Arabidopsis thaliana: one gene and its partner. The protein of the gene in region 2 interacts with the protein of the main gene of each other region in a pairwise test. Each region holds a gene or a part of one and is shown on either strand. Other genes may lie near its edges. The genes, in order: AT5G37890 and AT3G20260.

Region 1 (15,423 bases), on a different chromosome or scaffold from region 2:
AACGTGTACAAAGATGTCCACACATGTAATCCAAATGGAGATTGTGAGATGTTGAAGGTTCCGGTAATTGCTAGGTTGTTTTTAGATAGTATTAGAAAGGAACCTCTGTACTTCATGCCTATGAAGATTGAGGAAATCATTAAAAGACGATGGAAGATCACCGTATCTAGGCCTCAATGTCAAGCTGCAAGGAGAAAGGCATTGAGATGGATTGAGAGAGAACATGATGAGCAGTTTGCTAGGCTTCAAGACTATGCGGAAGAGATACGAGAGTCCAATAAAGACTCAACTGTTGAGGTTCAGACTGTGACAAATGAGGCAGACAAGAGGTATTCAACAGATTCTACGTTTGCTTTGATGCGCTAAAGAGAACATGGAAAGAGTCGTGTAGGCCACTTATAAGGATAAATGGAACCTTTATAAAAGGAAAGGTTAAAGGTCAGCTACTTGTTGCTTTAGGTAGAGATGCTGATAATGCTATATACCCAATAGCATGGCGGTGTGTACAAGTAGAAAATATAGATAATTGGGTGTGGTTTGTGAGGAAGCTGAAGGATGATTTGGGACTAATGGATGGTGATGGTTATATCATAGTGTCTGATCGTCAAAAGGTAAGAAGCATTCTTAATTTAAGCATAGTGTCTGATTGTCTTTTGGTAGTTTATTAATGATCGTTTTTTTTTTTTTTCAGGGTTTGATTCGAGCTGTTGAGTTAGAGCTGCCCATGGTTGAGCATAGAATGTGTGTGAGACACATTTATGGAAACCTGAAGAAAAATCATGGGAAAGATAAAGAGATGAAGAAGTATGTTTGGGATGTGGCATGGAGCTACAATGAGAAAAGCTTTGAAGCTAACATGACCATGCTTTACAACTACAATGTGGCAGTTTGGCGTGATGTTGTGAAGTCAAAACCAAGAACTTGGTGCAGGGCGTTTTACAAGCAAGGAAACTTCTGTGAAGATGTTGAGAATAATTCGACGGAGTCCTTCAACAACTCCATTTTTAAAGCTCGAGACAAAGCATTTGTGCCAATGCTTGAAACCATAAGGAGACTTGCAATGGTAAGGATAGCCAAGAGAGCTGTTGAATCTCATGAGCACAAAGGGAGATGCACGCCATATGTTAGTAAATTCCTTGCCAAAGAATTCAAAAAAGCTTCAGAGCTGACCATAAGAAGAAGCACTAATGATATGTATGAAGCTACTATAGGTAACGGTTCTCATAGGATATGCTTAAGTGAGAGGACTTGCACTTGTCAGAAATGGCAAATCTGTGGCATTCCTTGTGAGCATGCTTATGGAGTCATGTTAAACAAGAAGCAAGAGGTTGAAGATTATGTGTGTCACTGGTTTCGGACACCCATGTGGAAGAAAAATTACACAGACGGCCTATTTCCGCAGAGAGGTCCTGCATTTTGGCCATCGACAGAACATCCTGATGTGCATGCACCACCACCACCACCACAGCCTGGGAGAAAGAAAGGAAAAGAGACTAAAAAAGACAAGAAGAGAAAAAAGGGAAAGAATGAGACTCCTACTAAGATGGCACCAAAACAAATGAAAAGGGTAATGCATTGTGGTATTTGTAATGCAGCTGGTCACAACTCAAGGTTCCACAAGAAGAAAAAGTCTTCAGTACAGGTTAGCCTTTTGGTTATGTTTTGCATTGCATTAAAACGTGTATTAGGCCTATAAAATAGTTTGACTCTTGTTTTGCTTTAAAATGTGTATTAGGCCTTTGAAGGATTGATGTCTCAAGGCAGTCTAGGCCCTAGCACTCATGGCACTCAAGGCAGCCAAGTGGAACCGTCTCAAGGAGTTGTGATGTCTCAAGGCTGATTAGAAGGAGATTAGTTAGGTGTAAGAGGATTAGATGGGTCTAGTTTTTGTTTACCATCTGATTAAAACTTAACTCGGTTATGTAATTTTGGTTATGGATGTTTCATTTCTTTGTTTCGGATGTTCTTTGCCTCAATAATGTTTGGTGATTTCTTAGAATACACCAATTGACTCATTCAACGAATCTATTTTGTCTTCTTTGGCCATTTGTCTTTGTTTTACTCATTCTCAAACACAACAAAACAAACAACAACAACAAGCACAAGAATCCAAATTGGGTTTTTCATTACACAAACATAAGCTCGATCAACGGTTAGTACACTACAACAACAATAACAGAAAGCGAAAACAAACAAACAACAACAACCCAATACACTAGATTTAAATTATCACCTTACTCAAACCTAACCTATCACCTTACTCAAACCTAGCATGATCATACAACCAACAATGACAGCAATCGACATTTTCTTCATGCTTGATTTTGATTCCAACAGTTCTTCTTCTACACTCTCCACAATCTCTCTCTCTAGCTTCATTTGCATCTTCTCAAAAACCATCTTTTGGTGTTCCATATTCTCTGTTGTAATTTGGGACATTGTTTCTTCAAGTGCAGCCGTTCTTCGAGTCAATCTCTCTATCTCATCTAACAATGCTTCATCAACCCACTTGAATGTGTGGTTATCATCAACAAGCTACAAAGAACAGAGAATTAGGCTATAAATTTGTATGAAACAACTCAAATATCAATCACATTACCTTATGTGTTGCAGCATAAGCACAACGATAGTAACGTCGATATGGATTCGAAGCGGACTTAGACATGAGCGCCGAGATAGTAGCACCACACCAACACATCTTTGGCACACCCACGAATCTTCTTCTCTGTCCAACATTTGATGCTCCACTCGTAGCTCCAGATGAATTGCTCATATTCAAGCTCAGAATTGAATTCGAAAATGGTGAAGAAAAGAGAAGAAGAACAATCGAGATTAGGGTTCTAGGATTTCTCAATTTGGGGATTGTATTTATCGGGTTGGGATTTATCGGGTTGGGTTGTGTGATACCTCGAGAATAAGGTTTAATTCGGTTTATCCTTCTGGGTTTTGGTTTGACATCGGGTTCTGTATAATAAACCGAAGGCAAACCATGGAATTAACATTTTTGGGGATCAGAGTCTGTAACTTTCGATTTAGGGGGAAGCATGTTTTTAACTTTCATTCCATGGGGACCGAGATTGAGTGTTAGATTCTGTGTAGTTGTGATACAATGTGAAACTTGGTAGGGGGACACAGGTCGTTCTCCCAAAGGTTTTAGTTAATACTTTAATTTCATATCTTATTCGATCGATTAACATTCACCATGTTGTTTAGATATCATTACAATAAATATCTAACAACTGGTAAAACCATATTTATCGATAAATCAGTGTGATACACGGGTTCTAATTTAGTACTAAAAACAATTGTTATAATTACTACTATTGTCTTTTCACATTGGTTTATTCGAAATAAACAGATCCTTAGACAATAATGTTTTTCTTAAGAAACTATTTTTTTCTCTTATATATATGACAGAATACATTCAAATTATATTTATACATTTCATGTATTTTCTTCTAGTAAACAAATAACAACCAAAGCTAGCTGTATTTTGAATGATTAAAAAGTAATTAAATTTTTCTGAAGAACAATTCAAAATTGAGGTTAACATTTTTTTCCTTCCAGCAATAGTAATAAAGAGGAGTTTGATTTATTTTTATATTTTTAAATTTTTGAATGCGAATACAAAATCGGATAATTTAGTATTAAACGTTTATACGCAACCACATCTTATCACCTATATAAATAATGTTTTTCGGTATTGATTTGTTTGAATCAATCTAATATAGTTGACTAAAAATAAAATAAAATAAAACAATAGCAAATTCGAATTCAGACCGTTTCCCCTATGTGGCTATTAAGTATTAACAATTAATAGTTTCAAGTTATAATAAATAAAACTTTTTTTTTGTCGGCATTTTTATTGCAATATATTTGTTTGACAATTTGTAAACCGCTAGGAAACCTACATATTATAGACATGCTCAGTAACAACCCAATAGTTGCTATTTAAATTTGAATCATTTTAAGAAAAATAATTTTTTGATTAAATCTGCGAATTTTATAAAATTTTATAAGGTTTATAAGGTATTTATCAGTTGTAACTACTATTTGGAGATTCAATTCCAGTATTTATGAGGTATTTTATAAGGTGTTATAAAGTGTCACAAGGTTTTACAAAGTATTTTACATATTTACAAGATAATTATAACTTCTAAGGTACTTGTAAGATATTTTTATAAAGTATTTATAAAATTTTAGATACATATAAAAGTAAATGTTTATGCTTTAATAAAGTTTATACACATATTTAATTTGAGTATTGGAAAAATGAAAATTTAATTTTTTTAACATATAATATTTTTAAGATATAGTATATGATTTCTTAAACTACATAACACTACATAACCTTATGCGATGCGCGGATGAAATAAATGTAGTGAAATATACAATATTTTATAACTAATATATATATATATATATATATATATATATAAAATAAAATATTTAGTTACTTTATAATACATGTAATAACAATTAGCATAAATATTGTGACTATGATATATTAATTTTGAACTAAACATTTTTTAGGTTTTATAAATTATAAACTAAAGCTAGATTTTTGTTATTTTTATATTAAACATTTATCAAATTAATCAAAAGTGCTAATTATAATATTGATATACAATATAAGTTTTGCGTTTTATTTAAATCTATGAAAATGATATGCAATATTTTTTTAACTGATATATTTCAAATTTGTAAGTTGTTTATATCATATTGATTTTAGTATGTGTGTAAATTGTAAAATATTCAAAGTTGTGAGATTAAAAAAGTCTTGATTAATTAAAAGATTAACATATATGAATATTGATATATTGATACTAATTGATATTAATCAAAAGAACTCAAATACTTTATATGATCAATATTCAAATTATTTACTATTTCTTCCATCATTGAAAAATATGGTAAGAAATTATTGCATTTAATTACTAATTATTTACTATATATACACTTGTGGAATTTAATAAAGAAGTTTAAAGTTATTTTGATGTGCATAATCATATATTGAAGAAAGGACACAATAATACGGTTGATAAATAAAATAAATGTAAATTTTAAAATACAATTAAACAATTAGAGTATAATGTAACAACTTACAACAATAATCTAACACACGTATACAATTACCAAATAAAAGTCAATAAATTATATGAGATATATCATGGTTTTTACTGATTTCTAACATAGTATTAGAATGGTTTTTATAGTCTTTCTAATCTTTTTTGTATCTTTTTTAGTCATTACAGGTGCATATCTACTTTTAAGAGCTATGAAGCATAATAAGGAATTTTGGAAGCTTTTCAGGAAAAGAAGACAAGCAGAAACATTATTCATACGTTGGTGTCGATCGACACCACGTCAGTATCGATCGACACCACGTCAGTACCGATCGACACCCTTATCGACAAGGATATTTCTCACGTATCATAAAGTCTTTAAGAAGTCTAGAAATTTTTCTTATTTGTAAAATAGACCCTGCACGTTTTTACTAACCTATATTATATATATACTAGATATTAACCCGCGGTACCACGGGTGGATATGTTCATTAAAAAATTATAGATAATTTTTTTAAAAATTATTAATTGTATATAAATAATATATTCTTAACACATAATTTTTATTTATGTAAAGCTTCGATAATTCATTTTTATGTTCTCATATTTGTTAGTTAATTATGAAAATTCAATATTTATTTTTATGGTTTGGGTTTTTTAGAGGTAATAAAGATTTAAAACTTGTATTATTATTATTATTATTTTTTAACTTGTATTATTTAGAGATTGACCCGCGGTACATCCAGGGTTGAAATATTTCTTAGAAAATTAGATATTTTATTTTTATTAATATTGTTTATATATATAACATATTCAAGAGGTACATCAAACGTCTATATTTTTATTAAATTAAAAATATTATTATTGTTTTTAGGATGATCTATAGATACATGCTATTGTCTTTTATGTATGATAGTATGATACACCTCTGTATGATTTTTATAACTATTTTTTTTTAGTGTTTAAAATTGTATAATTGTATCATTCCGTATTAATATCGATCCAAACCTATCCCACCATATAACCTCGTCCCGTGAAATTAAACATCATTTTATCATTTTTTTATGAAGTTCGAATAATTATAATATTAGAAACTTCAAAAAAGTTTTAATATGGACCAAACTTCATAATTGTATATTGATTGTTACATATAGGATTTCACCCGTAATATATCGTTCAATATTAATATATTTTTAGTATTTATAATATTTTAACTTCTTATAAAGTTCAAATATTTACAAAATTTACAACTTCATAAAATTTTAAAATTTTTAAATCATTAATATTAAATTTATTTTATAGTTATTAACTTTTAAATTTTCTTAAGAAATTGTAATACTTAACTTTTAATAAATTTTAAATATATATAATATTTTAAAACTTTAAAACTTTTACTTATTTAAAATAAAGAACCGGAGTAAACCGAACAATACTTTTAATTTTGGATGTTTGATATATCAAGGTTCCTTCTCATTCGTATTCAGAATCACTTAAATATTTTTTATAGTATGACTCTTAACGATGTCCCAAATTTTTAAGCAATGTGGGACCTTTAAAACTTTTTTTTTTATCGATGGAGTATTATATGTCTGTTTTAAAAAATTTGAATTTTATCGGATGCAAAAAAATCTAATATTTTATTAAATATATGTATTTTATATATAAACTAAAATAGCTATATATAAAAACAAAGATAATGACAGAAAAATTATATATTTATATTTAATGTTGATATATAGATTTTAGGAAATTAGCCTTAATCGAATATAGTTCAATAAAAAAAAATTTAGTTAAGGATAAAAAATTAGGAAGAGTTGATTCAACTAATTAATGCAATTCAACTAATTGTAAGTTTTTAGTTATAAAGTATTTGATTGAGATTAAATTTGTAAGGACTAATATTGAAAATAGTAAATAGGTGAGGGATTTTTGGTCAAAAACCTTAGCAAAAATATATACATGTAAATATTTTAAGATTATTGTTTAGACCTAAGCAAGTTTTGTGTGAGAGATATACTTTTGGAGAGAAGAATCATATCACTAGCAGAAAAAGAAAAATATTTAACTTAATCTGCGTTGTAGACTTGTCGTATTTTCCTTGTTTAATTTTAAAGTAATAACAAATACTATCATGTATTGTATTGTACACTATTATTTTACAGTTGTCCAACGTGAAGTCACGATATGTTCTTGTTCCTAGATGGGATTCGAAGTCTTGCTTCTTCAAACTTCCAATCGTTAGAAACAAGATCCGGAAAATCCGAAGTCTTGATAATTGAACAGCTCTCCGAAATCAATAATGAACGACTTTCTTTAACAAAAAAACAAAAAGAAAAAAAAAATAATGAACGACTTTTTTATAACAAAGAATATAAAAAAGCTTTCAACTAAAACAAAAGAAAGCTTAGTTGTATTCACAAGTTTTTATATTAAATGGCTGGCTAATATATATATGCAAGGGGAGAAGGAGAAGAAGAATATCACAAAAATCGATCCAAATCTCCATATTAGCAGCCATGAGTTCAATGGGTGTATTTTGTAAGGAGGAAATTGGTGGAAAACCGAATTTGGTATACACATTAACACAAACAGACAACCCAACCTCTTCTGGTGAGGCCCTAACCATGGATTCTGGTGAGGACGATCTCCCTCTTCAACCTCTTTTTTTCTGTCCTATGGGATATAATTATATGTCCATGTATACTTTCTTAATTATATCATCCTCCATATATATATATATTTAACTAACCTTTTTTATAATTCATGATATATACTTGATCTTGCTAAATTATACACACTTTTCAAGAACTACAACTCCAAAACTGAACATATTTTGTAGAACTTCGCTAGAATCCTCAAATCCTCAAAACAAAACTAGTTTTTGTAACTTTTAGAATCTAGTAAAAGGGCAAGTTTCCAACTTCGTTGTTCCTAATACAGAGTTTATAACAAGAAACACCAAAACCTGGAAGAATTTTAGTTATCAAGAAATAAGAATCAGAAAGATGGAAAAATCTTCTTGGAAGACAGGAATCGTCAATGCTTCATAGCAAATGGCCTATGCATAAATTATATCTTAGTTTAGATTGAAAACATTGTGAAACGTTTTGTTGGTCGATTGCACCAAGTCTCTAAAATTACAACCCTCATCAACCATAACGACTATGGGCGGGTTAAGATAACTAAAACGAGACAGATAAGAGTTTTCTAACAGGAAGACCCCAACCTTCTTACTCTTTGTTCAACTTCTTGACGCTAATCCTCATTTCCAACACATCACCACGCAATAAACTGTTGGGAATCAACATGAAATTCTCTTGCGGGGTTTGAAAACTCAACTTAAGAACCCTCTTCACCTCTGGTGATTGGTAAATCACAGTGTGTCCATCGACAGTGTAAGAGAGAGCATATGAGTACTGACTTAATTCTGGAGAAGATGGCGCAATGCAGCTTACAGTTACATACACACCATACGGCTCCCTGAAACACTGCACTGCAAACAAATGATTCGTCAAGTGTTCCGTTCTAATCAATATCTTTTTGCTGATGTTCATCCGGACACTTAAGGGAATGTCACAAATGAACGTATTAATCTGGTTTATTTCCATATGGGTAATACGATAGTGAGTGTACAGATCCTTGTATGAGCTAGTGTAATTGCAATCCAATGCAGGGCAGGCGCAATGAGAGAACATGCATTCCTTTTCATGAGTTAACTCTTTCCCATAAGATACATTCTTTTTGCAACCTAACTTGGCGTTCGGACACGGGATCAAGATCGATTCAAGAACACTCTCCATTGCTCTGCAGCGATTGTGGCCAACAGGCGAAGTACACGCAGGGCATTTGTTATTTAGTTTGGGACAGCAAGAAGAACAAGCCAAATGTCCATTATCACACTGAAATTCAAAACCAATAACTTGTGATCAAAAGCTATAACAACGTCGAGATAATATTCATCGAATCGACCAAGGATAATAGTTCTCTCCCCAAATGATTCTCCCATATAATTCATGATATAGACAAGTTATACACATATTTTCAATAACTATATACAACTGCATACATGAACATAACTTACTAAAGTTCACTAGAATTCTATAAAATCATCACAAGCTAAAGCTTAAGGACACTCTTGAAATCTAGTAACTAGTAAATGGGCACAATTCCAACTTCTTCTCTCTGCAATTTCTTTAACATAACTTTCAAAAGTTCACTAGAATCCTCAAAAGCTAAGGCTACTCTTAGAATCAAGTAAATGGCCACAGTTCCAACTATGTTCAGAGTTCTAACCAAAACAGAAACTTTCTGAAAAATACGAAATGATTCAATTTGAGAAATTACGAAACCTGGAAGATGGGAATTGTGAAAGCTTCGTAGCAAATGGGACAATCGAGAATCTCCAGATCCATTAGCATTGTCGAGCGTTTCTTAGCGTCTCTCTTAGCTGCATCACTAGAAGAAAGTTGTCTCTTTTGCGAGAGAATGCTGTTAGATCCAATTCCTTCGCCGGGAGATTCCAAAATCGCGGCACCAACCATGTCGGAGAGATGACTAAACCCTAAATTCGCTTTTAGTCTTCTCGAAAACTGAGAGAGGCAAATAGAGAATTTAGTTGATTTTGTTCATTGATGGATGGTTTTACAGAGAAAGGAGACAATGGCACAAACTATAGATGATATGGGCTTCGATAGTTCTTCAATTCCCAATTAAGGCCCATATAATATATAAACAATACCTTTTTTTGATAAACTTATAAACAATATCTAATTTTTAAGTCTATTAATATTTACAATATAAAAGAATATAATTATATATATAAAACCATTTAAAAATTAATATTAGTCTTAAAGTTTATGTATTTTTTAATTCTTCAATTCCCAATTAAGGCCCATATAATATATAACAGAAACAATGTCTAAATTTTACAAAATACAATAATAATTATTTATTTAGTCTTAATAGTTTATGTATTTTTTGCTACATTAATTAATAAGCTAATTTTTATTTTTAAAAGTTATGTAGCTTTTATTTATTTTTTTGTCAAAAATGTGGTTTTGAAGTTGGGATTTGGGGCAATCACAAACCACTAGACTAATTTTACCTTGGAAGATTGATAAAAATAGCAAAAAAAAACAATTTCTTCAAAAATAGCAGCTCATTTGAATAGTTCCAAAATTACACTCAAAACTTTAATTAATTATTAAATATTTAATATAAATAACTAATTTAATTAAATAAATAAAATTAAATATTTCTCGCCAAAGATTTTTGTCAAAATTTTCTCACAAAAAAAAATCCGTCAAATGTTTCCCATAAAAAAAATTTAGGAAAGATTATTATACGAAATTTGGGAAGGATTTCACGGAATTCATAAAAGATTTCACAAAAAAATCTTTCCTAAAACTCTTCCTGAATTTTGTAGAATCTTTCTTAAATTCAGGAAATGATTCTTTGAAAGATTCCACGACATAGATGTCACTCCATTCAGTATCAGAGTCCTGACCTCTTTTCTTCAGGTAATTTCTAAATTTAATATATCATAGTGTTGACCTCTATTCCTCAAGTAATTTTCAAATTAAATGTTTAAAAATTCTTTTGATTTTTGGTGGTAGACTGCTAAGATTAAAGAGTCCGATATCTACATGATGAAGATAATGGAGTGCTATACAATGTAAGCTAGTAATTCAAACCTTGAGGAAAATATTATTGGAAACGCAAGGAAAAAATCGGCGGTTGATTCACAGAATTAACAGATATATAGGTTAGTATATGCTTAAACCAATATAATTTCAATAACCATATCGTTTGCAGAATTAACAATTTATGAGTTATATAGTTCATTTTTTTTGAATAGGGTCAATTACTATGCAGAAGTAGCAGATTGCTAATAAAAAAAAAGTTTGTGTTAGCATATTCATAGAGCATTCACCCAAATGATGAATTTGTGTACTTTTTGAATTTTTTTAATTGTTAATTTTAATAATTAAAAATAAAATAATTATTTGAATGCTATTTTGTCCAAAAAATGTTTGAGTGCTATTTTTTTCCAAAAACTTGAAATGGTGCTATTTATGGAAATTTCTATTTTAACTTTTGCTATTATTTTTTCTGCTAAAGATTTAAGAATTTTGGTATTAGCTTTTATATTCTTAACTAATATGTAAAATTGCAGTTAAAACTACCATATTGGAATTCTTTAATCATTGAATCACAATTCACAACTAAATTTTTTCTTCTGCTTTTAGACATCACACGTTCGTACGTTTACTTATAATTAGATTTCGACTAAGAGTAGAATAAAAGATGGAGACCATAATCATGACAAACGAAAGAGCACGCATTACTCCAATTTGGTCATGCATAAAGTATAGCTTAGAAGTTATTAGATTAAAAAACTGTGAAATGTTTTGTTGGTCGATTCCATCAAAATTTCCATTATCACTCTAAATGCACAAAAACGTGTTAAGCAATACCAAACAAATTGCATCAAAGCTGAATCAAGCCGTTAAGCAATTACATCGGATCTTAGTTCGTCAAAACTTATATAAATGTCAGACGAGATAGAGAGAGTAAAAAAATGACATTCCTTCCTTCTAGTTCTATATCACCTCAACATTCTTACTCTTGGTTCGACGTTTCGACGATAGAAAGCTTAATATCCAACAATTCACTACGCAATAAATTGTGAGGTATCAACATGAAATTCTCTTGAGGTGTTTCAAAACTCACTTTACGAACCCTCTTCATTTGTGGTGATCTGTAAACCATAGTGTGTTCATCCACAGTGTAGGAGATTTGATATGAGAACTGTCCAACTTCTGGAGCAGATGGTGCAATGCAGCTTACGGTTACATACACACCACACGACTCCCTAAAACACTGCACTGCAAACAATATTTTCTTCTCATATACCCTTGTAATTTGTATCTTATCGCTGATAAGCATCGGGGCCTTATATGGAATGCTAGATCTAAAGCAGTTAGTGGTCCAGTATGAGTTCGAGATGTGAGTCAGTTTATAGTGATCATAGAGATCCTCGTATCGGCCGGAGTACTCACAGTCCAATGAAGGGCATGAGCATAGAGAGAAAATGCATTCTTCTTCATGAGTTGATTTTTTCCCATATAAGAAACTCTCGGTGCAACCAAACATGTCGTTTGGGCATGTGACCAATATCGATTCAAGAATATTCTCCATTGGCTGATAAAGAAAGCACAAGCAGGGCATTTGTTCCTCAGTTTGGGACAGCAAGAAGAGCATGCTAAATGTCCATTCTCACACTGACATACAAAAAAAAAAACACTGTAAAAATTTCAAGAAAAAAAATATGTATTAAAAGCTGGAAAAAAACAATTTTTAGACAAGAAACAAAACCTGGAAGATAGGACACGTCAATCCTTCACAGCAAATAGGACAATCGAGGATATCAAGATCTAGCAATGTCGCCGAGCGTTGTCTCTTAGCCACTCTCTCCCCTCCATGACCTTGAGATATCAAAGCTTCTAAGGCTCCCACCATGTCACCTAGATATCAATAGTAAAAATATTATCATATTTTCATTAATCAAACAATTTTAAAACATCCTCGACTGATGAAGGCAGAAGAGTTTGTTCGAAACTTTTATAAGACTTCCGTACCAAAAAAAGTAAAAAAAAAAAAGAGTGTTTAAACGCCAACTTTTTAAATCTCAAAACACAAGTCTGATATCTCTTAAACAACGATGGATAGATCTATTTGTAGAAGACAACTTTTAATACATCTCTTAGGAGTGGTAAACACAAATCCAAACTAACTAAGGAAAAGGAAACTAACCAGAAAAAGGAAATCTTGTTAAATACCTTAGAGCTTGAAAACCAAAAACGCAAGGGAAAGCTAGAAGAACACGTGTATGTTCGGTTTTATTTTAATTAGGGTTTTGTGTAAGGGTTGAAGAAGTATTTGACACAAGTTCATATCGTAATTAACGCAACTGATATATGTGTAGTCAATCAATCAGACATTCACATGTGTTAAATATATTTTAGGTTTTTTACTTATGAAGAGGAAAATTATAAAAACAATTAAACGACTAACATCATTATCATCATGATACGTGTGATGATCAATTTGATTGTAACATGTGTCAAATATTTTAATATTTTACTGTATTATCTTATATGGCATATTAATTGGTTTTTAAATTTTCGCATGTTTCCAAATATTTAATTTACGTTTCTCATAAGTCAAAACCATGGAATAATTTTGATCAAGGAAGCATGGAATGAAGCAAACATCATTCAAGTTTCACCGCAAGAGCTTAAAATTTCTACTTGATGAATATTACTAAGACAGGAGAAGAAACTACACACCACAATACTTCGGTGAGGACTCTTCTAGCCATTGAGATGATGACTCTTCTAGCCATTGATTTCGGTATTTTTGAGCTTGGATCGGTTTTCATACTCAGCTTGTATTCTGCTCCAACCTTAAGGTATTTATGGGTCGCACAATTAAGTCGCCACATTTTTAAACGAACAGTCTTGTCATAGTATGTTTACATCAGCATATAAACAAAGAAGAGTGATGACAATTTATGGACTAAAGCTTGACATATATCAAAAGTTGTGTTAAAACAATTAATACCTAGCATGTACTGTATAATAATACATTTGAAAAGATGGAACGGTTGAAACACTGTGAAATGTTTGGTTGGTCGATTTCATCACATTAAGTGCAAAACCAAACGAGTTATAATCAAAGTTGTAATCTAGTTAAACTGAAACCTAATTAAATCAAGCCGTTAAGCAATCAAATCGGGTCTTACTTCATCGGGGCAAAGCTTATATGTTAAATAAAACAGACGAGACAAAAAGAGTTTCCATGTACATAGGAATATGAAAACAATAATAGAATGACCTTCCTAGTTCTATATATCACCTCAACTTCTTACTCTTGGTCCACATTTTCGATGATAAAAACCTGCATCTCCAACAAGTCACCACGCAATAAACTGTGAGGTATCAACATGAAATTCTCTTGAGGGGTTTCAATACTCACTTTACAAACCCTCTTCACCTCCGGAGATTCATAAGTCACAGTGTGTCCATCCACATTGTAGGAGAGTTGATATGAGAACTCTCCTACTTCTGGAGCAGATGGTGCAATGAAGCTTACAGTCACATACACACCACACGGTTCCCTAAAACACTGCACTGCAAGCAATAGTTTCTTCTCATGTACCCTTTTAATTAGTATCTTATCGCTGATGAGCATGGAGGTCGTAAAGAAATTGGCACATCTAAAGCGCTTAATATTCCAGAAAATATTCGTGGAGTGAGTCAGTTTATAGTGAGCGTAGAGATCCTTGTATGAGCCAGTGTAATCGCAGACCGATGAAGGGCATGAGCATTGAGAGAAGATGCATTCTTTTTCATGAGCTGACTCTTTCCCATAAAAGAAACTCTTGGTACAACCAAACCTGACGTTTGGGCATGGGATCAAAATAGATTCAAGAACACTCTCCATTGCTCTGCTGCGACTGTGACCAACAGGCAAAGTACATGCAGGGCACTTATTACTCAGTTTGGGACAGCAAGAACCGCAAGCCAAATGCCCATTATCACACTGAAAAAACAAAATACAAATTGTGGTTAAAAAGCTGTAACTACACCTTCAAAATTCGAGAAAAAATATAGATATTAAAAACTGGACAATTGAATTTTCAGATAACAGTATTCATTGGCATCTTAGAATGGTTCAGTTTTTTAGCAATTCCTAAGCAATTCTTTTAAAATTTCACATTCAACCTCACGAAGTTGTACAAACGTATATTTTTCTTTTTGACTATAATTTGACATTATTCAAAAAAAAAAAAAAGTGAATTTTCATATAAGACACAAAACCTGGAAGATAGGACTCGTCAATGCTTCACAGCAAATAGGACAATCGAGGATATCAAGATCTAGCAGTACTATCGCCGAGCGTTGTCTCTTAGCCACTCTCTCCCCTCCATCACCTTGAGATATCAAAGCTTCCGAAATTGAAGCTAGCACCATGTCGCGTAGAAATCAATAGGAGAAATTTGTCCTCGGCTGATGAAGGGGGAAGGGTTTAGAGGGTTTGTTCAAAACTTTGATACAAACAAAGGTGAGAATTCTCTTCTCGTGTCTGAACACCAGTTTATTTAATCTCAAAAAAAAAGTATGATAATTAACTCTTAAACAAGAATGATGGAGAGATCTCTGTTTATAGAAGACGAATTTTAGAAAACACCTCTTAGAGTCTTAGGAATTGGAAATAAAATGTCAAAAATCCCAAACAGGAAAAAGGGAACAAACTAGAAAAAGGAAAAACAATCAAACAGAAGGGAAAGCTA
Region 2 (15,679 bases):
GCCTTACCAAGACCACCAGGAGATGCAAGACTACCGTTTGGCTGTGACAATGTATATCCAGTGGATACTGTCGAAGTGGTAGGATACTTTTCTGCTTCTTCCATCTGGACAAAATCAAAACAATGATGAAAACGCCACAGAGAAAATTGCATCTCTCAAAATGCTGACAAAACTATACCCAATTGAAGTGAGCAATATCAAAGAGAAAACACAATTGTGATCTGAGAAACAAAAGGCATTACCTTTCGTTTACCAAGAGAAAGCTTCTCAGAGATAGTCACCGTAGGAGCTCGAAAACCTAATCTCTGGTCTTTAAGCTTACCATTGAAACCCAAATCCTCAATCACAGATTTAACATCATCCTTACGAATAATATCCTTAGGGTCAAATTCCAGACACATCCCAGCTAATTTGGACCTAGCTTCAAACATCAGCTCGAGTTCCAACGCCGTCGGAGTTTCCCCACCACGCATCCTCCCTAACGCCGATAGAACCAGAACAATCTCCGCCACTCTATTCATCTCCTCGTCAAAACGTGGCTTTTTCGCAGGCGGAGACACCGGTTCTGCTCCGTTGCCATCAACCATTGCGACGGATTCAAGATTCATTGGAGCATTACTGGTCGCTATATCCATTGAAAAGAGAAGAGACGAGGAGAAACCTTAAACGCGAAAGAAGAAAAAGGGAAGGAGGGAGATCTCCATTGTTAGAGAAAGGTTCAAAATTTTGAAAGCCCTCTTTATAATTTATTTTCGCGGGTTAATAAAAATAAGGAATTTGAGGAATCAGAGTAGGGAGCCAACAATACCCAAATTACACGAAGCAGAAGACGGAGATGTTAGAGAGAGATCGATGAGAGAGGATCTTTTGACTTTACTTTTTTTTGTCCTAGAGAGATATAATAGAATAACAATTTTATCCTTTTCTATTGTTGTTTTGCGTACATATGAATAATATTTTGATTGTTTACGAAGTTGGGCCCATATTTAACAGGCCTGTAATATAAATCATTGGGCCGTGTCTTGCAATTGCCTAATGGAAGTTTTCCTTAACCTCTCAGAAAGATGCATTGGTCTTAGGGGGGGAAGTTCCAGATATAATGCAAGTAGCCAAAGAAATAAAGAGATCTCGTCAAAACGCTTCTTAGAGGGGAAGTTCCAAACGGTTCAAATCACAATTATGGTTGTCATTATATTTCTTCAGGCTTACGTACATGCAATCTAAGAAGCTATATAATACTTGCTTACTGGTTTGTGCTAGTGCCGATATCGGTACATACCAAAATGCCACTATTAACATAAACAATCTTTATGTTTTTGATCGTGAAATCGCCGGGAATCGGCAAAGGGAATCCTCTCTTGAGACGTGTGTTTACGTACGGCAAAAACAAGGCTTCAAGAATCCTAGACGTAGCAGCCTAACAACAAGAACACATATCCACCAGTTTGATGCTAATCAAGATAAATCTTAAACTCAAGATAATTAACTTGACTTACCTGAACATAGTTTGTTTGAAACTCTCCAATTTTACTCCACTTCATTGTTGCATTGAAATCATTTAATCTGAGGCTACCGATTAGATTATTCTTTACGATTTCTGTAGAACACGCAACACTCAGAATCTGCAAACAAGAACAAGATTCTAACTTTAGTGATCAAAAGATGCTTCTTAAGTTAGATTGTTTGGTGGATTACTATTAGTCTTACTGTTGATAGGCGTGCTACAGATAGATTTTCTCCAGAGTCTTGAACATCGAACGCTATATCTAGCTGAATCGTCGCATCAATTCCATTCTCTGTGATTTTAACAGCAGGAGGAGATGTTACTGACATGTTAAGCACCATTTTATTATCTGGATAATGTTTGTACAGCTCTGGAAGGATGAGTTTCCAGTCAGATGTGCTTAGAATGGACCCGTTCTTTGTTTCCTCCATAACTAAATGCATCACCTTAGCCTGAATCAAAACCAATCCAATAAGCTTACAAATTGTTTTGTTCCACCATACTCTAATCAAGATTTGAGAACTTACGTTGAAGTAGACAAGTGTTGCAGAGTTGAAAACTCCTTCTTCTACTGAAATTGTCACCATTCTCTTATTAACCCCACCAAAGAAGGAAGAAGAACGAGACCCTGCAACTTTAATATCATCACCCTTTGGCATGAATAAACCATTGATGTCAACTTCAACCGACGAATTCCCTAAGACAGGGTTGCCTGTAAAAGTGAGATTCACTGCAGCAGAGTCATCAATCTTTCTCTGTTTTGGAAGTGATTGCAAGAAAGAATCAAGCTTCTTCATTTTTTCTACAATTTTAGTAGAGACAGTTTTTTCAACAGTAGATATAATCATTTTTTGAAATGCATCAACCACCCTGCAAAAAGGAAAACAAATATTATAATCTTGGAATAAGAGATTTTAGAGATACGAAAACTTATGGAACATTTAATAATACCCTTGATATAGCCAAGAAGCACCACCATTGATATGAATATCAATGTTCTTTACTGTACAATCATTTTCCCGTGAGGCAATCTTTAGACTTCCATTATCATTAACCAAAGTGGCAGTGATTCTCACATTCATTCCTTTAACCTTCATCGTCATAATCATTCACCTGTTAAGCTTTTTCTTCTGATGATGAAACAATGTTCTGAACACAAACAACAAAACTAAAAAGACCCAATTTGGTTTTCGATAATTTCAGAGTTTTACCTCAACAGAAGCATCTCCATGATCAGAAATCTCAAAGAAGGAAGCTCTGTAAGTATAAGACCAGTCCATACTCAAATTTGCTGTAGCACCTAAAACACTCAAAATGATTCCATCTTTTCGAGTCTCCATCTTCGAAGACTGGACATGAACTGCATCAATCTGAATATTCGATAGACCCATTCGAACTTTCCCGATTAGAGGGATCTTAACCTTATTCTCAATGTCTGGTAGCTGAAGTGGAAGCGTCGTAGTGATCACTTTCTTGATGAGGTAATCTTTAGCAAATTCAAGACCTGTTTCCGAGACGATTATCGAAATGTGACCGCCATTGTTGGATTGCGCCAAGGTCGATGACACCGAGACGAAGAGAACCAGAATCGTCATTACTTTCATGAGAGCCATTTCCAAGAAGAAGAATAAAGTGGATGGATAACTGAACTTAGCAAGTAACGAAGAAGTTAAAATAGTCAACAAAATGTTTGACTTTTGCTTTAAAACGAACCACGAATTATACATGGCCAAGAATCTGCATTTTACACGTCTTTCTTTCTTACAAGATGCAGACTTTGAATGTCTTATGTACAAGTATGTTGTAGAATTGGACCTCAAATTACTTTACAGGGCTGTGGAAACTGGAAGAAGCAGGCTAAGTTTAGTAGCCTAACCAAACATAAGGTATGGTTTGAAACTTATTTTTGGCAATTCCTATTAAGTCGCAGTACTCTGAATGATCAAGCAAGTCACGGAAATCTACAAACAGTTTCTCGAACACCTTCCACTGCACTTTGATTGGTCTTGAATATGGATATGGAAGAAAGCCCTGCATCTCTTAGATAGTTAGTTTCTACTAGAAAAGAATTTGAAAACTTTATGGACACTGTTATCCTTTCTTACATCATATTCTTGTGCGATTGATTTCAGCACGGTAAATGTATGTTTTGTGTCCTCTAAATTGTCAAGAAGAGCCAGCCAAATCTTTGTTGCAAGCTCACCAGCTTCTTCTTTCGATTGGCCACAAACAATCAATTGGTCTGCCACCAGAATATAAGATGAATGCCGTCATTAGCAATGATTCATTAAGCAGAGTCAAATGCATATACCAAACTAGCTTACCGATAAGGGTTCCATGCAAAATGCCTGAAGCAGGCATAGTGGAAAGTTGAAGCTGATCATTCAAGAACACGTAAATATGTCCAAGCATCTCATCTATGTCTGTATCATCCACACCTAATATGTTTCTGCTGATGTATAAAGCCACATATCTCCTGCAGCTAAAAGGCTGTTAAGTTCCTTGAATCTAACTAAGACATTATTAAGCTAGCTTTTTTCATAGAAATCAAGTGTGTTTCCAGTCACCGTTTGCTTAATCCTTGACGAATTGGTCCAATCCAGCTCTTAGTTTTGCTAGCAAGTGGATACGCCCGATTAAGAGCAGCCAGCCATAAGCATTCTCCGCGGAATAAATTAGCCCACTGCTTTCTAACACACGATACTTGTTCCCAATTTGTTATTGGAATTCTGATAAATATCTCTATCAAGAGATCCTCTGTAAGCTTTCCAAATGGACTATCATCTTTCATTGTCGGAGCAACGTTCTCTTCTTTACTTCGGTTCATTACTATCCTGCAACACATGTTTTACACATAGATCACCAATAATACATAAGCGACATAAAAGCAACATCAGTCACACTAAATTATTCCATCGAAATCAAACAGAACATTATTGAATAGCACTCATTTAGTAGCTTTTTAAGTATGTTTAAGAGTAACAAACACAACACTAACTTAGAACTTTAAAAAAACATATCTATAAGCCTAAAGCTTATTAAACAAAAACATATTACTTACAGATTCTTAATCCCAGTGAAGCTTCATTCCCATAATCCGGAAACAAGCAAACTAAAAAAAATCAATTGCTTAATGGCAAAGCAAAAAGCATAGAATCAAATGTTCATACGATTTGTAACCAATAAAAGGATAAGCTTTTGTCTACAGTTATAAGATTAAAAAAGTAACAAAATTTGAGTAAAATTCATATGAGAATCCCATTTGATCACTATAGGCTCAAACTCAACAACACAAGTCCCTATATCAACAAGAAAATTCTATTCAGAGGATCATAGCAATCTGATTGATTGGAACCCAAAAAAAATTCTCTTGAAGAAGTCAAAATTTTATAACTAGAAAGAGTAGAAAACGAAACGGCTAAGATGATAACAAGCGTTTCATCAGCTGAAACAGAATTCAAGCAAAAATAGAATCGAATGAGAACTTACAAGAGGTAGTAAGTAATCCCTGAGAAGAAGAACTGGTGTGAGAGACATGCCAAATGAAGCCATGGATCATAACCTCAAGCTCTCCAATTCGGTTTCATCCAATCCACTAGACCGGAATCGTAACCAAAGTAAATTCAAAAACCATACCAATATAACCAAAGTAAAAGACGACGTCGTTTCATAGCAGTATACATAAATTTGGTAAAGAAAAAGCCCATTTTAAGAGAAGCCCAAATTGTCATCAGAAACAAAGATAAGACCCGTAGATGTATGAGACGGAGGAGGGTAAAGATGTAATTTTAAAAGAGAGAAGTGAGCAAATGGAAGGAGAACAGATAGCGCGGCTTTTCTGACAATATTCTCTGTACGATGCTTTTCTTTCTATCTCTCCCCCCACTGACCTACCTACCAGTTGTTACTTGTTACTGCTTCTTCTCCTTTTCATTCATTCATACATCTCTCTCCTTCTCTAATCAAACACCAAAACAAAACCAAAAATTAACCAATAGAAAATGAAGTATCAGAAAAAGTAAAGTAAGAAACCAAACAGTAAAAGACAATTTCGACCCATTAGGAAATAAACAAAAAGTCAAATTGACTCAGAAACCTCTTTGTGAGGGTTTTGACTGCAAATGGAAATTTTTGAGGAAAGGGTTTTAAGAAAGGAAGAAAATTTCTAGTTTTTTTTTGGAATTTGAAATCACAAAGTTTAATTATTGAATTTAATGACATCTGTTTAAGAATCAATAATACTTGCTCTCCTTTCCTCTCTCACATTTATATTGTGCTCTCTCTGTCCATTTACTGAAAAAACTTGAATTGAGACATTATTATACTTTGCTTTCTCTCTCTCTCTCTTGCAAGTGGTTAGAAACATTTCTCCTTCTTTAATCTCCTCCTCCTCCTGTCTTTGTCTTTCGATTTTGTTTTGCTTTTATTTGGGTTTCTCTTTCTTTCTTAAATTTTGAATCTTTTTCTTTCTTTTTGTTTTTTTTCTCACACTCTTTGCTCAGTGTAGTAGTAGTTTCAGTGGAGTGTTGATTTATCAGGGAATGCTAGTGTTCTTATCAGCTAGAGATTAGTGAATCGAATCTAAAGTTTCAGACAAATGCTGTTGTTGCTACTGATCTACTTATGCATTCTTAATCTTCTGTCGGTGTTCCTAATTCTCTAGGGTTTGCTCATGATTCTCTGAGATCTTACTAGATTCATGCATTTTCCTCATTCTCTGGTTTGGTTGATTCTTTGATTAAGTTCGTTGTGGCAGAAGAGAAACGCTTTTACTCATGCAAAGAGACTAGTCTCAGTTTAGATCTTATGATTTAACAAAAAACACTCACTCTCCTAAGTGTGTTTGAGGAGGCAATGGATTTCTTGAAAGTTAGAAAATTTCGAAAGTCTCGGAAGCCAAACCTTGAAAAGGAGAAAGAAGACAAGATATTGGCTCAGCAAGAACAGGCAAGGAGTGAGAACACTGAAGCTGGTGTGATAGATTCGGGGAAAGGAGATGAGATCGAAGATGACGATGATGATTTCATTACCAATGAGGTTAAGAGAAGGCTCAAGGAGTTGAGGAGAAACAGTTTCATGGTGTTGATACCTGAGGAAGAAGAAGAAGAAGAAGAGGAATCGTATCTAGATGAAGATGATGATGACGGAGAAGACAAGTGTTCAAGTGAGTGGAGAGATGTGGTTGCTGAAGGACTTCAATGGTGGGGAGGTTTTGATGCTGTCTATGAAAAGTATTGCGAGCGTATGCTCTTCTTTGATCGTTTAAGCTCTCAGCAGCTCAAGGAAACTGGTAAAAGCTTCTTGCTTTGAACTGTTTTTCATTGTGATAGATTGGACTGATCATGGATTTGTTGGTTACTTTTCAATCTCTTAGGCATTGGAATTGCTCCAAGTCCTTCAACTCCATCGCCAAGATCTGCATCTAAGAAGCTGTCATCGCCTTTCCGATGTCTTTCTCTCAAAAAGTTTGATGTTCCGGAGGAAGATATCGAGCATTTGCAGCCGACAGAAGTTGACGACCCTTATCAAGATCTAGAGACGGCCTATGTTGCTCAACTCTGCCTCACTTGGGAGGCACTTCACTGTCAATACACGCAGCTGAGCCACTTAATCTCATGCCAACCCGAAACCCCGACTTGCTACAACCATACTGCCCAACTGTTTCAGCAATTCCTAGTCTTGTTGCAGAGGTATATAGAGAATGAACCGTTTGAGCAAGGCTCAAGATCGGAACTTTATGCTCGTGCTAGAAATGCAATGCCTAAGCTACTTCAAGCTCCTAAGATTCAAGGTGATTTCTCAGCTCTCATACATTGCGCGACTTAAAACCTTATGTGTAGTAGTAACACTTGAAGTTGGTTATGTTCAAAACATATCAGGGTCAGATAAAAAGGAGATGGAGAAAGATACAGGCTTCATGGTCCTCGCTGATGATCTCATCAAAGTCATAGAGAGCTCGATCCTTACTTTCAACGTCTTCTTGAAAATGGATAAGAAGAAACCAAATGGGGGTATTCACTTGTTTGGGAACCACAACAACAACCATGTGAATTCTACAACTCCTTTACTACTGGTTCAGTCATCCATTGATAAGGTACGATTTCTCTGTACTCAAATGTTATTACTATCGTATGCTTCTTTGGTGTCTCATAAGAGAGGAACTTTTGCAGAAAAGGGTGAAAGCAAAGGAGCTTTCAAAGAAGACAAAAGGGCTGAGAAAGAAATCATGGCCTCAAACATGGGAAGGTGTTCAACTCTTGTTTGCAGCCATTGACATCAAACTCGCAACACGGGTTTTGAGGATGTCGAAAATCAGTAAAGAGCAACTTCTATGGTGTGAAGAAAAGATGAAAAAGCTCAACTTTTCAGCTGGGAAGCTTCAAAGACACCCATCTCCAATTCTTTTCCCTTGTTGATATAATAAAGTGATGAACACACAATGATTTCAAATACTGTAGCATCAACTGTTCCCTTTTTATACGATCTTTAAGATCCGGTTTGGGGATTTTTCTTTTGCAGACAAATCAAAGAAGAAATTGTGTGTGTTGTTCCATTTGCTTTCATTCATTCTCTTGGCAATAAGAGTCCAATTCCAAGAACACACTTGGTTTGGTCATAGATTCACTATTAAGGGACCATTTTCATTGTTGTCGTTTGGATTTAGCACATATGAAAGAATCCAATGTTGTCTTGTTGATGGGAAACTAAATCCATGATCATGATCATGATGGTGATAGAAAAGTCTTATTCTTCTATCACTTTCATTGTTTTTGGCCAAAGTCTTTTTATTTCTTTTCCACACTTTCCTATTTAACAAAAATCCTAAGAACTATAACTATAAAACTGTTGAACAGTGTTCAGGTTCTTAAAACAAACAATTAGAATTTCTTAATCCAAAAAGAAGAAGAAACAAAAACAAAAAACTTAAAGTGTGTTTTGGTGGTGGCGTAGTAACAGGCAACAGAGACAATGCCACGTGAACGTATCTCTTTCAACTAGAAGTGTCAACACGTGGCAAACCTAGTCACCAATTTGGAGCCAAAGCTTGAATGACCAAAAAGGGCTTGCTTCACCACCACCGTTAAAGAACATGCTGAGGGGTAGTTTAGTCATTATAAGGAGACGACGACCTCTTCGTGTGCGAATCCGTCGTGATGCTGAATATTGTAATGTTGTTAAAAATGCGATATCGAAAAACTCTTTAAATAAAATTTTGTGTATTAAATTAAAGACTAAAACCTTACAATAATTGCCGAGAAACAAAAAAGTGTTAAGATTAGTCTTGACTTGGTGACTCGACGAAGCCCCTTGAAGCAAACTTTTCAAAGGGTTTAGTTTTAATTTCTCTATCTCTCTTTTTCTCTGGGTCTCTTCTCTCTTCAAACATTTTATTTCAAGCTCTTTGAGAAAACACTTTCATGGAAGCTTGAATATCACCATCAGGTACTTAACTCTGCCTCTTCTTCCCTCTTCCTCTCTGTATCTACTTTTTTTTCTTCTACAAGTCATGCAAGGAACTAGTTTATGAATAGAAAATGATAAAGTTTAAGTCTTTTGTTTAATTTTGATCTCTGATTATAGCTTCAGGATATGATTCTCTGTTTGTGAAGAGGTTAATGAATGAGTTCAACGGTTTCGTGTGCTTTTATAAAGATGGCGTCTTTTGATGATCTTGTTGTTGTTTTTCCTGATTATTGAGTTGACTGAATTTTTTAGCTTCAGGAAATGGTAAAAATCTTAGTCTGAAATTTCGATCCTTGATATGTAGATTTCGTTCATGTCTTGTCGATTACTTGTTTTTTTGTTCTTGTGATTAATGAAATTTGGGACCATATCTTAAAGTTCTTAGCTTTTTGTTCTCTTATGGACTAAGGTTTTGCTCTATGTGTCAGGTGTTGTGAAATTTACTTTGTATGATATATAGAAACTTGATTATAATAGAAGTATGACGACTACGCAGAGCGCTATGAGAATGGTTGAGGGTGATCATATAAAAAATTGGCAGGCTTCTAGTGATAGTGGGATCTTTGGTTCACTTGATATGGCTGTTGAAGATTTAGGATTCCTTATGAAAAGAAATAGGTTGGATAGTGGTGATCAAACCGGTAAATTCCCTAGTAGAAGCGAAAGCGCGCCGCCTAGCATGGAAGGTTCCTTTGCAGCTCTTAGGAATCTCTTGAAACAACAAGAAGGTAGTAGCTCTGAAGTTTTAAGTAGGGCTATTGAGAATTATGACTCGGAAGAAGAGATACGTAGTGATCCTGCTTATGTAGCTTACTATTTGTCGAACATCAACTTGAATCCGAGACTCCCTCCTCCGTTAATCTCACGGGAGAATCAGCACTTGTTGCGTCATTTTGGTGATAATAATCAGAGTCCAACAACTTCTTGGGATAATATGGGGATAAGATCATCTTTGCATTCTTCTAGAACTGCTCTTTCAACTCATAGAGAGGAGCCCGAGGATGAGGCATCATCGGGTGAACAACAATCTTATGCTTCTTTGGCTGGTCGTCGTAAGAGCATAGCTGATATGATTCAGGTACATGGTTCCTTATTTTATTACTAAAATATTAATTCATTTTACATAAAGGAAGATTTCCCTCTTACACTTTCTTCTGTGTTCAAGCGGCCTCATTCGGCAGGAAATCGTCCAATAGCACAAGACATCCATGCCATTTCCTCTGATACATCTTCAGAACACGCAAGAAGATTACCGGAGTCCGATATAAATTCGGTTAATCTGCTGAGGGAGACAGATTCTCTCTCCAGCGATGCTATTGCTAGTGAAGATCCCTTTACCACTGATTTGGCCTCACAAAGTTTTACTAATGCACAGACAGAGAGATTGAACGCGAGGCAAGCGAGCCATGAGGACAACAATCTATCTGTTTTTGGTGCTTCTCCTCCATCCTCTGTTGCTTCAAGAATGAGGAGGAACCAAGAAGACCAACAATCTCAGGGAAGGAGAATGCCTCCACAATACACACCTTCATCGTATCAGGTTCAAGCTAGTTCGCCACAGCAAATGAGCTATCCGAGGATAGGTGGTACACAGGACATGATGCAGAGCTTACCAAAGATTGCAACTGGCGAGGTACATTCGACTTTCCAATCTCCTCACGGTTTGGCACCGCCTCCTATGTATACATCAACAGCAGCATATATGACATCTCTGAGTCCATTTTACCATCAAAACTTTCAGTCCTCGGGTATGTTCGTCCCGCAATATAATTATGGTGGTTACCCTCCTGCTTCTGGTATTGTCCCTCAATATATGAGTGGATACCCATCTCATGAAGCGACTGTTCCTATGCCATATGATATCTCATCTACTTCTTCGGGCTACAACAACCCTCGGCTCCTGCCTGGAGTATCATCGAGTGGACAAAACATTCCTTCTCTTGTGGATCCTTTTCAGTTGCAATATTTTCAACAGGCTCAAGTGGACGCGTATGCTCCTCCGTTTCAGAGCAGCACTGATTCTTTTGGGCAGAAAGACCAACAAGCTGTTGGCTATATGGCAAATCATGAACCTCTCAACAGTCCATTGAGTCCGGGTTACGGGTTGCAAAGTCCGCGGCACATGGGAAACTATTTTGCAGTGCCGCCTGGTGTAAGAGTAATGCCGCAGTATCCAGGATCACCTCTTGCTAGTCCGGTGATGCCATCCTCACCGGTTGGTGGAATGATGAGCCACTTTGGAAGACGAAGTGAAACAAGGTATCATCAACAAGGGCCAAGTAGAAACACTGGGATCTACCCTGGTGGATGGCAAGGGAACAGAGGGGGAGCCAGCAGCATCGTTGATGATCTAAAAAGACATTCTTTTCTTGATGAACTTAAGTCTCCAAATGCTCGGAAACTCGAGCTTTCTGATATTGCAGGGCGTGTTGTTGAATTCAGGCAGTGTTTCTGCTCCGAATCTATCATTTTCTTTAATTCTGAAGTAGTGTTTTGAAAGGTTCAAAAGAAATGATGTCATAGTAATCTTAATTTACTACTCATTTTTCTGAACTTCAGCGTCGATCAGCATGGCAGCCGGTTTATTCAACAGAAGTTGGAGCACTGCTCCGATGAGGAGAAGGCATCTGTTTTCAGTGAGGTTCTTCCACAAGCTTCAAAATTGATGACTGACGTTTTTGGAAATTATGTCATCCAAAAAGTGAGCCACTTTTTCTTCTTCTTTTTTTCTAAGCTGAAAAGATCTTGTCCATAAAATACATTGTGATTTTTGAATCAGTTCATAGAACATGGAACTCCGGCACAGAGAGAAGAACTTGTGAAGCAACTTGCTGGTCAGATGGTTTCACTAAGCTTACAAATGTATGGATGCCGTGTGATACAAAAGGTAAATTTATTAATTTTACTTTCCTTATATCAATGTCAGTATCTTGAAGTAAATTGTAGTTAAGTTTCCATGTGCTTGTTTGTACCTTATGATATTTATAGGCCCTTGAAGTGATAGATGTTGACCAAAAGACAGAACTAATTCGTGAGCTCGATGGGAATGTGCTGAAGTGTGTTAGAGATCAAAACGGAAATCATGTTATCCAAAAATGTATCGAGAGTATGCCTGCTGGTAGGATTGGATTCGTAATTGCTGCTTTCCGTGGTCAAGTCGCCACTCTTTCTACTCATCCTTATGGATGCCGAGTTATCCAGGTAATTGGAAAAGAGCGAGCTCTGTCTCCTCTTGTACTCTGAACTTGAAATATTCATTATTTTCCTGTCTGCTTTGTTATAGAGAATCTTGGAGCATTGCTCAGATGATGAGGAGACTCATTGTATAATAGATGAAATATTGGAATCTGCGTTTGCTCTTGCTCATGATCAGTATGGGAATTATGTCACTCAGGTCTGGTTAATCTCGGATCCATTGTCCCTCTTGGAATTGTCTTGAAATCTTTTTGTTCTTAATATTGTGCTTTGGCTTATGTTTTTCTTGTAGCATGTCCTGGAGAGAGGGAAGCCCGATGAAAGGAGACAGATCATTGAGAAGTTGACAGGGAATGTTGTTCAGATGAGTCAGCACAAATACGCATCTAACGTTGTAGAGAAGTGTTTGGAACACGCTGATAGTACCGAAAGAGAGTTCCTGATTGAAGAGATAATGGGCAAATCCGAGGAAGACAATCACTTGCTAGTAAGAACAAAATCCTAAAGATAGCTCTTTGAATCCTCCTGGACTTATTTTAACACTCTTTTGTTCTGCAGGCGATGATGAAGGATCAGTTTGCAAATTACGTGGTCCAGAAAGTCTTGGAGATCAGTAAAGATCAGCAAAGGGAGATTCTGGTGCAGAGGATGAAAATTCATCTCCAAAGTTTGCGGAAATACACATACGGGAAACACATAGTAGCCCGATTCGAACAACTGTTTGGTGAAGGTACTTTTCTCTAAAACTAAAACTTGAGTTGTCAATATGACTCTGCTAAAGAAATCTGAACGTTCTAATATGTTATTGTTACAGAGAGTGAAGTCTCAGAAGAGGGAACAGAAGGTTAGACAGAAGATTTTCTTTTGGGTTGCAGATTTGTACAATGTTTGACTTAGACAAATATGTATTTGAAAATGCTTATGTATATATGCTTGTATCTATGAATGGAAGTGTGATGGTATTACAATATGTATATGGTGTGGACATGATCTGTGATTAATAATTTGATTTGCTTCTTACTTCTTTGTTTTGACGAGAAGAACACAGAGAATTAGCCTCAAGAATTAAAAAAAACTCATCTTCTACTTCTCATGGGAATCATAACACTCCCAGGTGCCAAAAAAACATCTCATGTCCAAGCCACCACATTCCCTAAATCATAACTTAGAAATGTGATGACAGGCTTTAGCTTTAAAGAAACAATAATAACTTAGGTTACAATTTCGTCATTATATGAGTGGTTTGGTGTTGGCGGCAAGCAAAATATCTTTCCAGGCTTCATAGAAGACCCAAGTAATGCCTGAAGATGGCATGACTTTCAAACAACTTGCTCCCCATCCTCTGTAGAGTCCCATCACTCCTTCTTTCTTCACTACTTCTGCTATTGCTGCAGCCATGTTTGGTGGGCATTCTCCCTTCAGAGCTCCAACCATCAACCGCTTCCGCGCTACTTCCAAGGGGAAGCTTATGGTGCTCGCCGTTAGACCTGACCCCAGTCACAACTCAATGAGTCTTAAACATGATTTAAGTAAGGAAATACTGTAAAGGGAGTGGTTTCTTCAATTACTTACCAGCTAAAGCTCCAAGAACAAGCATCTCTGGACGGCTTAAAGCCTTTTTGTTCTTGGATTTGCAGTATGAGGTCTTCATTTTGTCATACATGAAGTAATAACATGTGCTGTAAGGAAGCATCCCGACCAATGTTGGTCCTAAGCCAGCGTAAAATCCACGGATTCCATCGGCTCTAAAAATTCTTGGAATTGCAAGGCTTAAGCTTGGATAAATCTCAGGGCTCACAGTCAATCTATCCTGGTAAAGATCAGAGAACATCACTCTCTTTCAACTCTAGACTAAAAAAATTCAATAGCGTTATAAAACAGACTTTGATTGACTAAGACATTACCTTGAGGACTTCGAGAGGATGGCAAACAAGTGTACTGGCAATACCAGCAGATGCACCAGCCACAGCAACAGGAGAGATCCACGATATGGACGGACTGAAACTAAAATCACCGATTTCAATCTTGGCGTCCTCAATCTTCTTCAACTTCACTTGAGCTGATGTCATTGCACGTTTTACCCACTCGAATGTCCCTAACTCAATTGCTTGCGTTGGAATGATTCGAATCATATTGATTTCATTGCCAGCCCAAAGACCTTGCCACCCTTGCTTCTGTACAACTTCCAGAAAACTACCTGGAATGCTTCTCGATCCAACACCAACAATCATTCTTGTCCTGCCAGATTTCACACCGCACAATGCAATTTTTAGTTAAATTTTAGACATCAAAGTGTATTATTGAGGAGATCACAAGGGACTATACAGACCTTATAGTCTCAAGTGGAGCAAGAACAGCTTTGGTCATAGCTCCAGCTAAAGCCCCACTAAGAAACTCACGGGCTTCCCTAGACTTGAAGAAATCCTGAATCAAACATAACAGAGAGAAAATATCACACAATGGTTCTATAAAATCATTCAATCAAGTAGCAGACCCTTATCTCATGCATATCCAAACAACATAATACCATTACCAAAACATAATCCAGAATGTTAAAACTCCACAAATTCAAATATACTCATAAAAGCAGAGAGAGACTGGACCAGAAAGAACAAAAAGAAAAGGAACTGACTTTAACAGGAATAGTGAAGTCAGGAAAGTGAGGTTGGAGACGAAGATGAGAATCCGATGAAGCTGAAGAAACAGATTCCTTGTCCATAACCACAAGCCCTTCTTTTGGAACAACCATTGCCATTTTCTCTCACTCTCTGTCTCCGTTTGTTCTTTCAAAGATTTTATCAGAGAGACAGAACAAGAGATTCAAAAAAGGGCAACAGAGAATATTCAATTAAAACATAATTAGAAAACAAAGAAAAAAACAAACTTCCATCAGATTGTGAACAGAGAGACCTAGAAGAGTATAAACTAATAATTTATGGGAAGAAAGATTTAAGCTTTTTAGGGTTTATGTGTTTCTCCCAATTTTTATTTTATTTTAACAATTTTCTAGTAATTTATTTACAACCCCACTTATGGAATCAAAACGCTCGTTTTTGGCCCTTTATTTCTCCAAAATATCTTTATAACTCGTAACCGGGCGTTTGGGGTTGACGATTCGATCCGGTTCACCAATTTTCTCAGGTTTTTAAATAACCGATTTTAACTGGTCCAATCAGCCGGTCCTGGGTTAGCGGCCGAGCCCTATCCGATTAGTTTACTTTCTCCCACTCCGAGAGCTTTCTTTCTCACTCTTCAAGCTCGACGAAGATGTCTTGCTTGATTTCATCAACTTGCTCACTCGTCCCCTTCGACTCGAATCTGACTCGTTCGAATCGTTTCACCAAACTGGGTTCTGCAGTTTCATGGCAATCTTCCTTTCCTAAACTCTCCATCGAAATCGGCTCTGTTATCTCATCCCCCATTGTCAAGAAGGTAAAGCCGTCTACTTTCGTAGTCCATGCACAATCTCTGAGGTTGTTTCGTACTTTCTCTTGCGCGTATAGTATTGTGCTTGTC

The links.
Region 1: the proteins of AT3G20260 (region 2) and AT5G37890 interact in a two-hybrid assay, tested with the Arabidopsis thaliana proteins (one large-scale study listed by BioGRID).

Annotation. Positions count from the first base shown.
Region 1 is NC_003076.8:15,082,216-15,097,638, forward strand, and holds AT5G37890 (Protein with RING/U-box and TRAF-like domain), read right to left. Parts: upstream 9,741-15,423; 5' UTR 9,608-9,740; coding exon 9,416-9,607; intron 8,966-9,415; coding exon 8,297-8,965; 3' UTR 7,463-8,296; downstream 1-7,462. Other genes in the region: AT5G37900 (TRAF-like superfamily protein), read right to left, coding at 11,688-12,269, 12,444-12,587; AT5G37910 (Protein with RING/U-box and TRAF-like domain), read right to left, coding at 13,995-14,672, 14,951-15,103. UniProt on the Arabidopsis thaliana protein: E3 ubiquitin-protein ligase that mediates ubiquitination and subsequent proteasomal degradation of target proteins.
Region 2 is NC_003074.8:7,056,431-7,072,109, reverse strand, and holds AT3G20260 (DUF1666 family protein (DUF1666)), read left to right. Parts: upstream 1-5,380; 5' UTR 5,381-6,358; coding exon 6,359-6,794; intron 6,795-6,878; coding exon 6,879-7,295; intron 7,296-7,383; coding exon 7,384-7,598; intron 7,599-7,674; coding exon 7,675-7,920; 3' UTR 7,921-8,200; downstream 8,201-15,679. Other genes in the region: AT3G20280 (RING/FYVE/PHD zinc finger superfamily protein), read right to left, coding at 8-104, 243-635; AT3G20270 (lipid-binding serum glycoprotein family protein), read right to left, coding at 1,244-1,417, 1,497-1,622, 1,708-1,956, 2,032-2,374, 2,456-2,595, 2,716-3,153, 3,386-3,535, 3,610-3,746 and 2 more; PUM5 (pumilio 5), read left to right, coding at 9,450-10,046, 10,134-11,410, 11,528-11,669, 11,748-11,855, 11,957-12,169, 12,252-12,362, 12,456-12,650, 12,722-12,893 and 1 more; AT3G20240 (Mitochondrial substrate carrier family protein), read right to left, coding at 13,394-13,650, 13,736-13,973, 14,068-14,401, 14,493-14,587, 14,796-14,918; AT3G20230 (Ribosomal L18p/L5e family protein), read left to right, coding at 15,431-15,595.